2 linked regions of the Ovis aries genome follow. The protein of the gene in region 2 interacts with the protein of the main gene of each other region in a biochemical or structural test. Links are inferred from orthologs where the notes say so. Each region holds a gene or a part of one and is shown on either strand. Other genes may lie near its edges.

Evidence for each region. The genes of interacting proteins can lie anywhere in the genome.
Region 1: the proteins of CRP (region 2) and complement factor H-like form a complex in vitro, tested with the Homo sapiens proteins (4 studies listed by IntAct, with this or other methods). The link is inferred for Ovis aries from reciprocal best matches to the Homo sapiens genes CRP and CFHR4.

Annotation. Positions count from the first base shown.
Region 1 is NC_056065.1:5,613,061-5,619,287, forward strand, and holds the start of complement factor H-like, read right to left. Parts: upstream 3,766-6,227; 5' UTR 3,695-3,765; coding exon 3,637-3,694; intron 1-3,636.
Region 2 is NC_056054.1:110,719,040-110,725,514, reverse strand, and holds CRP (C-reactive protein), read left to right. Parts: upstream 1-2,280; 5' UTR 2,281-2,385; coding exon 2,386-2,449; intron 2,450-2,686; coding exon 2,687-3,297; 3' UTR 3,298-6,250; downstream 6,251-6,475. UniProt on the Homo sapiens protein: Displays several functions associated with host defense: it promotes agglutination, bacterial capsular swelling, phagocytosis and complement fixation through its calcium-dependent binding to phosphorylcholine.

The DNA of each region.
Region 1 (6,227 bases), on a different chromosome or scaffold from region 2:
ACCTTGTTGTGATATAAATAGAATTGGGTTGATCTACCGTTTTCAAAGGGCTTCCCTATGGCTCAGTGGTGAAGAATCCATCTGCAATGCAGCAGACACAGGAGATGATGGTTTCATCTGTGGGTCAGAAAGATTCCCCTGGAGAAGGAAATGGCAACCCACTGCAATATCCTTGCCTGGAGAATTCCACAGACAGAGGATCCTGGTAGGCTATAGTCCAAAGGATCACAAAAAGTTGTACATGATTGAGCGACTAAGCACACAGCACCATTTTCATAAATCCATCTTAAACAAGATTAAATATTTTTCTTAAAATTCTTATGCAGATTAAAATCTATTTCATACTGCTAATACCTTCATTTTAATGGAACTTATGCTTTGAAAATTCATTTTAAATGTATGCTTGGAATTACCATTAAGGTCATTGAACTGTTTTATATCATTAGAGTTTTCTTTCATGGAATAACTGGTTTAAGTATGCTGAAATCTTACAGTGTACTGTTAGAAAGAAGATTGTTTAGAGGCAACTTAGAGGAAGTTGAGGAGTAAAGAAAGCATCCCCTGAAAATATTCTGTTCAGCTCACCTGACGTTTTTCTATATGTGATGGTTTTAGGAAAGTCCACAATGCCTTCCACACTCCTCTCTCCAAATATTAGAGCCTTAGTCCTCTCTACTGAGTGTGCAGGGCTTAGTGACCATTTCTCATGATTGCACATTACTGACGTGACAGTGTGACAAACTCATACCTGCTGTGGAAGCTTCCTCCTCCCTGTCTGCTGTCACTGGCCCTGAGGAAAGCTAGATGTCTCTCGAGTAACCTGCACAGATGACCACGTGGTCAGGTGCTGAGGCCTCCCCCAAAAGCCAAGAGAGTGAGCCAACTTGGAAGCAACGCCTCCAGCCCAGCTGAGTGTCCAGGTAACAGCGGCCCAGGCCATTACCCAGTTGCCTCCCAAACAGAGTAATACATAACTAGCCAGCGAAGCCCTTTCTTTATTCTTGACCCACAGGAGCTGTACGAATATGGAGGTGTATTGTCTTAAGCCAATGTGTTTTCTGGAACATTTGTTAATTAGGACTATGTATCTAATATAATGGGCATCCCACTTGGTGCTAGTGGTAAAGAAGGACCCCGCCTGCCAATGCAGGAGACATAGTACAGGCAGGTTTGATCCTTGGGTTTGGATGATCCCGTGGAGGCAGGCATGGCAACCCACTCCAGTATTGTTGCCTGGAAAATCCCATGGACAGAGAAGCCTGGTGGGCTACAGCCGATGGGGAGGCAAAGAGTCAGACATGACTGAAGCGACTTAGCACGCAGGCATGCAGGTATCTACAATAAGTGTTAGTTGATGTGAGTTTTACTTAATGGCTTGAATCTGATATTACAATTATTTTGCATGCTAAAAATTTCATAAGTGCACCCATAAATTATGGAAGAAAAACTTTGCTTAAATATTCAAACATTTAGCTTTAAGACCACTTTTGGAAAGAGTTCAGTTGTTAATGAGAAGAGAAGGGTTGCACTGGAATATCTGGTGAAGATTTATCAAAGTTTCACATTTCTCTTTCATATTGTATACTCTTTCTCCTCTTGTTTGGAAATATGCCTGTAGTCTTATTCTGCTGCTGCTGCTGCTGCTAAGTCGCTTCAGTCGTGTCTGACTCTGTGTGACCCCATAAATGGCAGCCCACCAGGCTCCCCCATCCCTGGGATTCTCCAGGCAAGAACACTGAAGTGGGTTGCCATTTCCTTCTCCAATGCCCGAAAGTACAAAGTGAAAGTGAAGTCGCTCAGTCATGTCAGACTCTTAGCGATCCCATGGACTGCAGCCTACCAGGCTCATCTGCCCATGGGATTTTCCAGGCAAGGGTACTGGAGTGGGGTGCCATTGCCTTCTCCAGTAATCTTATTCTAGCTGATTAATAAACCATCACTCATGTACCTGAGAATCAGGAGAAACAATTCATGTCTGCCTGCTCCTCAGCAAGAATAATGGTGATGCAGCCTTTCTTATAAGTGATCTGGGGCCAGAGCTGCTTTTAATTGTAACACTAAGGACTAGACAGGGAGCTTTATTGTGCTCCAAGTGTTGTTCACGAAGAAAATTACCAAATGGACTAAAATAGCATGCGACAAATTATGAGATGAATAATGCAGAGTGATGCACATTCTATTCACATCTTGAATGTCACGAGGGATCATAAAACTCATTAGAGTTTTCATTTACAAAAACTTGAAGACAAATGGATTATTAAGAAAATGAAAGACAAATATATCATAATGAAAAACATATAAGTTTTATATTTGGGAGTAAAATCTTTGTTTTCAATATTATTTAATTACTTATATTAATACATTTGTATAATTTGACTTTTGTTTTTCATTTTCATTGGAGTTGCTTTTAAATATTGGGTTAGCTTCTGCTGTACATCAAAACAAATCTGAATATGTTATATGAATGTGTGTGTATATATATATATATATATAGATATAGATATATATATAGATATATATATATATATATTCCCTTTTCTTGGATTTCCTTCCCATTTAGGTCACCAGAGAGCATTGAGTGGAGCTGCCTATGATACACAGTAAGTTCTCCTTAGTTATCTATTTTATCCACACCTGCCAGGACATGGAATCAACCTAAATGTCCATCAACAGAAGAACAGATGCAGAAGAAGTGGTACATATACACAGTGAAATATTACTCAGCCATAAAATGCGATGAAATTGCACAATTTGCAGAGACATGGATAGACCCAGAGACTGTCACATAGAGTGAAGCTAGTCAGAAAGAGAAAAATAAATATTGTATAATATTGCTTATATATGGAATCTAGAAAAATGCTACAGATGAACTTACTGCAAAGCAAAAATAGAGATACAGGCATAGAGAACGGATGTCTAGATGCAAGAGGGCCCAAGAGTAGAGGGATGAATTGGGAGAGTGTAAAAAATAGATAACTAATGAAAACAACTTATAAGTTTAAAAATAAAAGTGACAAGTTTTTTTAAGGTTGTCAACATTTACATTTCTCTCTGAAAAGAATTCTAAATATATTGGCACTACACTGGAAATTAAGACTGTCTTTCACATTTTGTAAAAGGAAAATATATCTTGTACCTACGCTGGTTTTTAAAAACTAACAGCGATGTTAATGACCTTTAATAGATTTATTAAGCTATAATCACAATACAGTCAAATGAACATATTTAAAATGAGATTTGAACCTGCAAAAATCACCATATGTAAAAGTATAAAAATAACCATTGTTCTCCAGAGCTTTCTCATATTACAAGTAAGACTCTCCTAAACATTTTGGAATTATAATCTACTTTTCTGTGACACATTTTCTATTCACATTTTCATGAGCATATTCACATGACCCCGTAATCTACATAGAGTACCTTTTTGCACTGTGGAACTCAGATGACATAGAAAAGTATTCATTGTGTTTTCCCCTTTTAGGTGAATGTCTGATCATTTTTCCATTAAGGTATTCTTATGGTTATCTCACAGTGCAGACTATTTTAACCAGTTTATTCAATCAAAAATACACACAAAGGAAAGTAGATAGTTATATTTAGGAGGAAGGCTGAGTGTTCACATAGGTTTCAACTTACCCTGTCCATGAGCAGTGTAAAACCACAAGGTGAGAAGGACATTGGTTAACAACAACATGTTAGGTTTTCCCAGTGGTACATTCACACAAATACTCCAGTTGCACTGTTTAGGGTTCAAAAATCTGCTTCATTTGCAGTTACCTAGTGTGACTGAATTTATGCGTTACAAGGAAGCTAGTTAATTAGTGCCATTTAGTAAATATTGAAGTTCAAAGTTTTGAAATGTCCCTACCTTGTTTCTGTTGGTAGTTTCCCAATAAGTCATTGTATTCATCACCTGATATCTATGTGCACAACTTTCTGTGGCTAATATGGACTAGCTCCAAAGCCATATATCAGATACTAACTTTCAATAATATATTTCAAGACAGTAGGTGAAGTTTTTACCAGCCATTTGGGTCATCCATATTTTCATGGACTGGGGAAAGTGAATAAATTAAAAAAAAATTATAGTAGAGCTTAAAAACAGTCATATAAATTATAGCACAATCCCTTCACTTGCGTGCTATTTATGTATGGGTTCTATGATGATCAACTTCCTAATGTTGTTAACATGTAATTGACATAAAGCACTGCGTAAGTTTCAGGTGTATGGCCTAATGATGTAATTTACATATATCCTGAAATGATTACAACAATAAGGTTTGTGAATATCCATCATCTCATTTAGATATAAAAGTAAAGAAAAAAGAATTTGTGATGAGAACTCAGGACTTACCATCCTATTAACTTTCATACTTAAGATACAGCAGAATTAGTCATATTAATCATGTTGTACACTACATTCTTAGTATTAATCTATCTCACAGCAGGAATTTGGTACCTTTTGACTGGCTTCATCCAGTTCCCCTATCTCCAGGCCTAGCCTATGGTAATCACAAATGAGATTTATTTTTCAGAGTATTTGTTTGTTCTTTTAAGTACAGTTGGCCTACAACATTGTGTTACTTTCTGTTACACAGTTTAGTGATTCCATGTTTCTGTCCATTTCAAAATAATTGCCACAGTAAGTCTAGTTACAATCTAGCAAGATTTTAAAAATTGCATAATTATTGACTAAATGCTCCGCACTGAATATTTCATGTTTATGACTCATCTATCTTGCACCTGGAAGTTTCTCCCCTTAACCTCTCCCTCACCAGAGGATCTGGAGTGCATCCCTTAAAAAGACACATACAGAATTGTTCATTGCAGCTTTATTCATAAATGGCAAAAATGCAATTGTTCCCATGAACATTGAGAAAATGGATAAAACATTTGTAGCATTTTCATATGACTGATTAATACGCACTAATTTAGAAAATGATAGAGAGTGGTTTGGGATAATCTCACAGCTCTTGTAAATGGAGAAAAATCAAACACACTCACTAAGTACATATCTTATAATTTCATTGGTAGGCTTTCGAAAGGTTGAAAACCTCATCATGAAGGTGGTGTAACGTGTGGTACAGAATGGGACGAGACACAAGGAAACCTGAGGTTGTGTTGGACATTTACTCAATTTAGTCCTGGGTAGTAGTTACACAGGCATACATGTGTGTTAAAAAAATTATCAATCACGTTAAGATTAACTTTAGGTGTTTAGCTATTTCTATGTTTAACGTTGCCTTAAAAATTACCATTTTCAGAATAAAATGTAAAGTTAAAAGTCAAAATCCAATCCAGAGGACACACCTTATGTCTCAAATCAAAAGGACTTGAAAGAGCCTTGAGTTTTTATCCCCAAACACAAGAATTTGGGGTATTGGTCATACTAGATTCTACTGAATAATATGAAATCCTATATGAAAAATTAAACAAATTTGTGAATGGGGTGCTATTTTCACTTTCAACATTTGAATGTTTCTTTTTTTATGTATACCTTCTATAAAAATAGTTGTGGACATTTCCATAAGCTAAAATTTCCATACAACTTATGTTTTCATAAAGAAAACTACAGATTGTTTAAATGTTTATCAATAAAAGAATGTTGAAAAAAGAAAAGATAAAGTTACCTGTGGCAGATTCATGTTGATGTATGGCAAAATCAATACAATATTGTAAAGTAATTAACCTCCAATTAAAATAAATAAATTTATATTTTTTAAAAAAGTTATTGTTTTTCTTCAAACGTTCATTTCTCATTGAACACAAACCTCCACTCCAAAAAAGAAATAGTGTAGTTATGGAACATGGAGAGACTTCAAAAGGCATGAAGGAACATTTGGGATGATGAAAATATTCTACATCTTGATTATAGAGTAATTGTATAGATGTATTGGAAAGAAAATGGAAACTTACTCCACTATTCTTGCCTGGGAAATACCATGGACAGAGAAGCTTGGCAGGCTACCCTCCATGGGATCACAAGAGTTGGACACAGCCTGTCACGACAAAACTATATATATTTTGTGAGACTCATCATGTTGCATATTTAGAATAGACAGGTTAAACATGTCTTCTCTGTAAGGGTAATGGGAAGTTCCACAGAGCTCTAGGTGGGGGAAAATAGAAGGACTTTAGAATTCTCCAAAGAAACTAAAAAACCAAGGCAATAATAGAAGAGCATTTTCATAAAAGTTAAGAAAAAAAATGAAAATCAAGAGTTTTAT
Region 2 (6,475 bases):
ACTTCTGTTAGGCAGAGAACTTTAAAACCATTTCACTTAAAAAAAAATCTATGTGCCAGTATTCAAGCATTCTGGCACATAGCTGTTGTCAGTTGTTGATGAGAAGTCAAGCCAGAAATCAATGATTAAGTTTAACAAGGAAGAGATTTTTGCTTACGTTCGTTTTGCTGAAGTGGTGGAGGCCAAAGTCTTGTTTGCATGGATTGAGGAGAAAACAGGAGATGGGGAAACAGAGATTGTCAGTACACAAAACCCTTTCCAGGAGTTTTCCAGTAAATGAGAGCAGAAATGATGAACAGTAGCTGAAGAAGTGTGGAATCTTGGGATGCCTGACATGTGGGATCCTTCCTCCCTTCTTTTCTCCTTTCTGTAAAAGATTAAATATATTACAGCATGTTTGTCTGGTTTGGGGAATGATTGAGTAAAGATGAAGAAATTAATGATGCAAAAGATAGGATACTGATGGAAGCAAAACTCTGAGTGATTAAGAGGGTCTGGGATCCTTTGCAGAAGTATAAAGGTTGCCCTTAGATATAGACAGACAGTTCATCCTTTGTCATAAGAGGGAGGCAGTATATGTAAGTAAAGATTCAGAAAGGCTGGTAGATTTGGAGATGGGAGGATGTGTAAAGATATCAGTTTGGATTTTATAGCAGGAAGACCACATTAATAGTTTTGATTTAACAAAAGACAGTATGTCTCCTTCAAGGAAATGTTGGGATGTTGGGGTAGTTAGTCTAGAGCTGATGCAGTGATTCCATAGTCAATTATCCAGGCTCCATCTATCTGCAACCTCAAATGTGCATCTCACCTATGGTGGTCGAGAAGTGATACTCTAGCTCCTATTATTATGTCTGAATACTAGATAGAAGGCAGAGGGTAAGTGGAAAGGAAGAGCACAAGAGAAGTCTTTAAAGGGGGCAACCTGGAAAATGTCCTTATTCCTTCTGTTCACATGTCATTGGCCAGAATGTAATCACATTCTCACTCCTAACTGCAGAGGAGGCTGGGAAGTTTAGTATTTGAGTAGGTGACCGTGTGCTCAACCAACCTGTTCTTACTGGATGAGAAGTGGAGAATGGGTATCGTGCAGCTGCCAGAAGCCTCTGCTACAAGAAATACAGTGGCTTTCTTCTAATTTCTCAGTAAAGAGCTGTGATTGCTGCACATAAGAATGGATGAGATTCTGGGGGTTTGAAGAGAGAGGAGGAGCTAAATAGCCATTTGAAGACTGGATTAAATAAAGACCCATAGTAAGACTGGCTTCCCAGCCAATGCAGGAGATACAAGGGGTGTGGGTTTGATCCCTGGGTCAGGAAGATCCCTTGAAGAAGGAAATAGCAACCCACTCCAGTATTCTTGCCTGGAAAATCCCATGGACAGAGGAGTCCATAGAGATTTTCTATGGACTTCCCTGGTGGCTCAGATGGTAAAGTGTCTGCCTACCATGCGGGAGACCTGGGTTGGATCCCTGGGTCAGGAAGATCCTCTGGAGAAAGAAATGGCAATCCACTCCAGTACTCTTGCCTGGAAAATCCCATGGATGGAAGAGCCAGGTAGGCTACAGTCCATGGGGTCGCAAAGAGTTGGACATGACTGAGCAACTTCACCTTCACCTTCATGCATCCATAGGACTGTGGGATGCAGTCTATAGAGTAGCAAAGAGTCGGACACAACTGAAGGACTGGGTGCATCATCTTGATTCCTCCCTGAATCTTGACATGAAGAAACTCTGACATATGGTACGTTTGTGATCAGGCACATGTTTCACTGGACCAGAGATTTCCTTGCAATGAAACTCAGCTGACAAAGAAAAAATTGTCCTTGGCTCTGTGGATGACATGTTTGTTTTTGGTATTACCCAATTTGTGAACTGGAGGCATCTGAAAAGGGTTGGCAATGATGTTCATCTCCAGAAGCTATCCTCCATGAAACACCAAGACTCGGGCTGAAGTGGGTGCTAGAGATGCACTATGATATGTTCTCAGATGGCCATGCTTCTATTAAGATTTTTTAAATTATTTTCTCAAGATAAATACCCAAGTGGAACTCTCAGAGAGCTTCTTCATTTTTCCTGTCACAAAGAATTGGTGATCTCATAGTCACAGGAGCTTGTAATAAATAACCAACATTGATTTCTCTGTTCCAGAATTATTTTGCTTCCCTTATTTCCAGAGCCCTGACACTTGCTGAGAAAGCTAGTATTGGAAAATCATTTACGTGGTGGCACAGACTCCCCCACTGCCTTGGATATAAATCCATGCAGGATGGAGCAGGTCTAGAGGCAAAGAATCTAGGACTTCTGGTTGCTGAGCTTTCAGCCAAAGACATCTTCTCCAGAAGGGTGAATCCAGATGCTAGAAGTATTGGAGGCATAGACTGACCATGGAGAGGCTGTTGTGGTGCTTCCTGGCCTTGGTCGGCTTCTCTAGTGTTTTGGGCCAGACAGGTAGGGGCTACTCCAGGATGTGCCAAGTATTTGATTTGAGTGATAGGAGTGGGGCCTAAGATTATACAAGGTGAAGTCAGAGGGACATCCAGCATGGGTGAGTGTGTGTATGTCTGTGTGTGTGTATGACACTGAGGAAAAATCAGTCTATTTCTCAATCCCAAACTCTATTTATGCAGGAATAGATCTTTGTGATCTGAGAAACTTCTCACCTCTCCTCTGCTTTCTGTCTCACAGACTTGCATAAGAAGGCCTTCGTGTTTCCCAAAGAGACGGAGAATTCCTACGTATCTCTGAAAACACAGTTAGAGACCCCACTCAAAGCCTTCACCGTGTGTCTCTATTTCTACACAGAGCTGGCCCGAACCCGCAGCTACAGCATTTTCTCTTATGCCACCAGGCAGCAACCTAACGAGATCCTCATATTTTGGTCTAAGGGTAGAGGCTATACTTTTGGAGTACATGGGAAGGAGGTATCATTCCAGAGTTTCGAAAATACTCAAGCTCCAACACACATCTGTGCCAGCTGGGAGTCCACCTCCGGAATTGCAGAGCTCTGGGTGAATGGGAAACCCCGGGTGAGGAAGAGTCTGGAGAAGGGAGCCTCTCTGGGGAAAGACGCCAGCATCATCCTGGGGCAGGAGCAGGATGCGTTCGCTGGGGGCTTTGATAGAAACCAGTGTTTGGTGGGAGACATTGGAGATGTGAACATGTGGGACTTTGTGCTGTCGCCGGAAGAGATTAACACTGTCTATATTGGTGGGAACCTCAGTCCTAATGTCCTTAACTGGAAGGCGCTGAACTATGAAGCAAAGGGTGAGGTGTTCATTAAGCCTCAGCTGTGGTAGTGAGGTTGGGCTGTGGTCCTGGAAGTGCTTCCTGGCAATTCCACCCTATGGCTCTGGACCTCCCCACCCCTGTACACACCGCTGCAGGCCTGCTCTGTGAACACAGGCTTTTGCTTCCCTGCTCTACCTTCCTTAACACCAGATGGAATTTTTAAGTATCTGGCTTGGGAGATTGGAAAGCTTTGCCCACAAGGTCAGGATTGCAGATGCTTTGGGATTTCCTGTTTTTTTTTTTTTTTTTAAATTGATTATCTTAGATTATTTTAGAGATAATCCCTTACCCTCACTTAGATAAGAAGATTAGGACCCAGCAAGGAGAAGTGATTTTTTTTTTTTTAAGTCAAAAGGTGAATCTTTGGGCTGAGTAGGGAGTGCTGGTCTCATATCTAATTTCCTACTAAGAACCCCCCAGAAAGTAGGAGAGTCTTCCTCATCTTCACAGGGCTCTTCAGTGTCAGAGTTCTGACACTGGCCCAGGTCTTCTGAAATGGGAAACCTAGTGATGCAAAGTACCCTGGAAGGGCAATCAGAAAGGCCCAATACAGAAAACCTATATTTTTTCATGGGCAAAGTGGAGGCATCTAGTTAGTTACTTTAATTGTTATTGCCAAGCGTTTACATAGCCATGTTTTTGTTTGCTCACAGTGATTTCTTCATTTTGTGGTTCTTTTGGGGAACTCTTCTCAAACACCATCTGAACCACATGGGACGGTGCATCCCCACCTGTTTCCCCAACATAGCCAGGCCACAGAGTGGGTGTGACTCACACTGAACTATCAGAGTAGCCAAAACTTGTTTGGAGATTTAGGATGGCGGGATGGTTACATGCTCCTAGCTGGACACATTATAGTCTTTCCCAGGACTGATTTATGAACTCTGGGAGTGAGACATCTTTCTGCTGGAATTCCCATCTGAGAGGGTATTAGCCTGAGACTGTCAGCAGCCATCTTGTCTACCACATGGAGAAAGACTGTGAGGAAAGAGGCCAAGCTGTGGTCAGCAGAGCTGAGGAATTGACAGAGCAGTGGAGCCTTGACTGGACTGTTTGAATTTCTGGATCTGCTTTGCCTGGAACCAGATCTACACCTGAACCTCTCATGTTCATGAACCAGTAAAGCCCCTGTTTATATTAGTGAACCTGAGCTGTTATCTGATGGTTGTATTTCAAGTGGTGACTAACTTTTCTAACAATCTTCTGAAACCAAGTCCCTGTGAGTTCAGATGAACCATTACCTGTCTTGCAGTGACATAGCTAATGGCTCTCCAACCTCCCATAGGGATTTTTTTCTGTCGAGCGCAACCCCTCTTTTGTGATAGCTGGTAATTTGTGTGAGGCCAGTTGTGGGGGTGTAAAACTCTCACTCTAGAGAGTAAGAGGTATAAACTATTTTGTATAAAATAAGCTACAAGAATATATTGTACAACATGAGGAATATAGCTGATATTTTATAGTAGCTATAAATGGAGTATAACCTCTAGACATTGTAAGTCATTATATTGTACACCTGTAGCATATAATATAGTACTGCAACTATACTTCAGTTAAAAAAACTCACTGTGTTATTACTCCAATATGAGGAACAAAAACTAAAGCTCATTGACATCCAAGAATCTGCTGTCAGTTTCAATGGCTGGAATGCACTTTCCAAGCTGCTTAAGTCCCTTGTAGAGAAAGACCCCCCAAGGGTGATGGCTGCTGGTTTCTTCCAAAGGTGTCCTTCACCTTGGCTTTTTAGTACTAAGTGAGCTGTTGAAATTACCCCACAGAAGTCACACTAAAGTATGAACTAGCCCTGTGACTATGTATCAAATAGCTACTTTGGGGAAGGCATACAGTAGACTAGTTAAACATAAAGTTTCTGGAATCACCCTGCCTAGGTTTAAATCCTGGCTTTACAACTTACTATGTGACTTTTTGTCTTGGTTTTCTTGTCTATAAAGTGAGGAGAAATAATAGTAATTAGCTCAAAGAGCTGTTGAAAGGATCAAGTGAGATCATGCGTATAGAGCACTTTAGGGTAGTGCCTGGCACATAGTAAACTCTCAGGATAGTTATCTGCTATTATTATTATTGAAGAGAAGGGGATGACAGAGGATGAGATGGCTGGATGGCATCACCAACTCAATCGACATGAGTTTGAGCAAGCTCTGGAAGTTGGTGATGGACAGAAAAGCCTGGCCTGCTGAGTCCATGGGGCACAAAGAGTTGGATATGACTGAGCGACTGAACTGAACTTTGTATGCTGTCCGCAATCAAAGGTGGATTATATACCATTGAAACACAATTTGGTGGAATTAGTCTGGGTTGATTGCAGTTGAAAGGTCTGAATCTTAACCAAAAATTAAACTCAGAATATTAGAATGATAAATTTATGAGTGTTGATTTATGAACATTGATTCCCCTAATTGACTTTTGGTAACCATTTGAAAGCATAGAAGTTAAGGGTAAGGACTTGCCTGGCGGTCCAGTGGTTAAGACTCTGCACTTCCAATGTAGGGGTCTCAGCTTTGATCCCTGGTTGGGGAACTGAGATCCCACATGCTGCACAACATAGACAAATAAATAAATTTTAAAAATGTGGAAAAAAAAGAGAAGTTAAGGATATGTTTTCCTGGGTAAATATGTGAGTGCAAATATTTTTTGTTGTCTAATTAGGGCAGATCCATATACCCTGACATTCAGTTAAGAAGAAGGAAGGGTTGATTTTTTTTTCCCCCTAGTTAAAGAATCCATTCAGGAGTTATGTCTTAATTATAGAAGGCTATCCCAACTCCCCAGGGATGTGGGCTGAGCTAATATTTTTCTCAGAATTCAATTACTGGTACCTTGCCACACATAGTTTAGTGGACACCCTCTGGTCCTGATCATTTTAGCCAGGGAAATTTTTAAAGCTGGTATTTGCATTCAGTGAACATTTAAAAATCTCAATAAAGCATTTCTGGAATGTTTAAATAACTTAGCTTACCTAAAGATTCTTCATTGTAATCTTGTTAGAGAAGATATCCCAAGGTAACTGGGGAATTATTGGACTATATAGAGTTGTTCGACATAATACAATTAAATGTTATATGACATCTACCAGAGAGGATTTGGTAGGTTAGTTCTGAGCAATCCTTTGTCACAGCGAATGGAGAGTAAGATCAATTATTCAGTAAGGCTGATGTTAATGTAGCCATG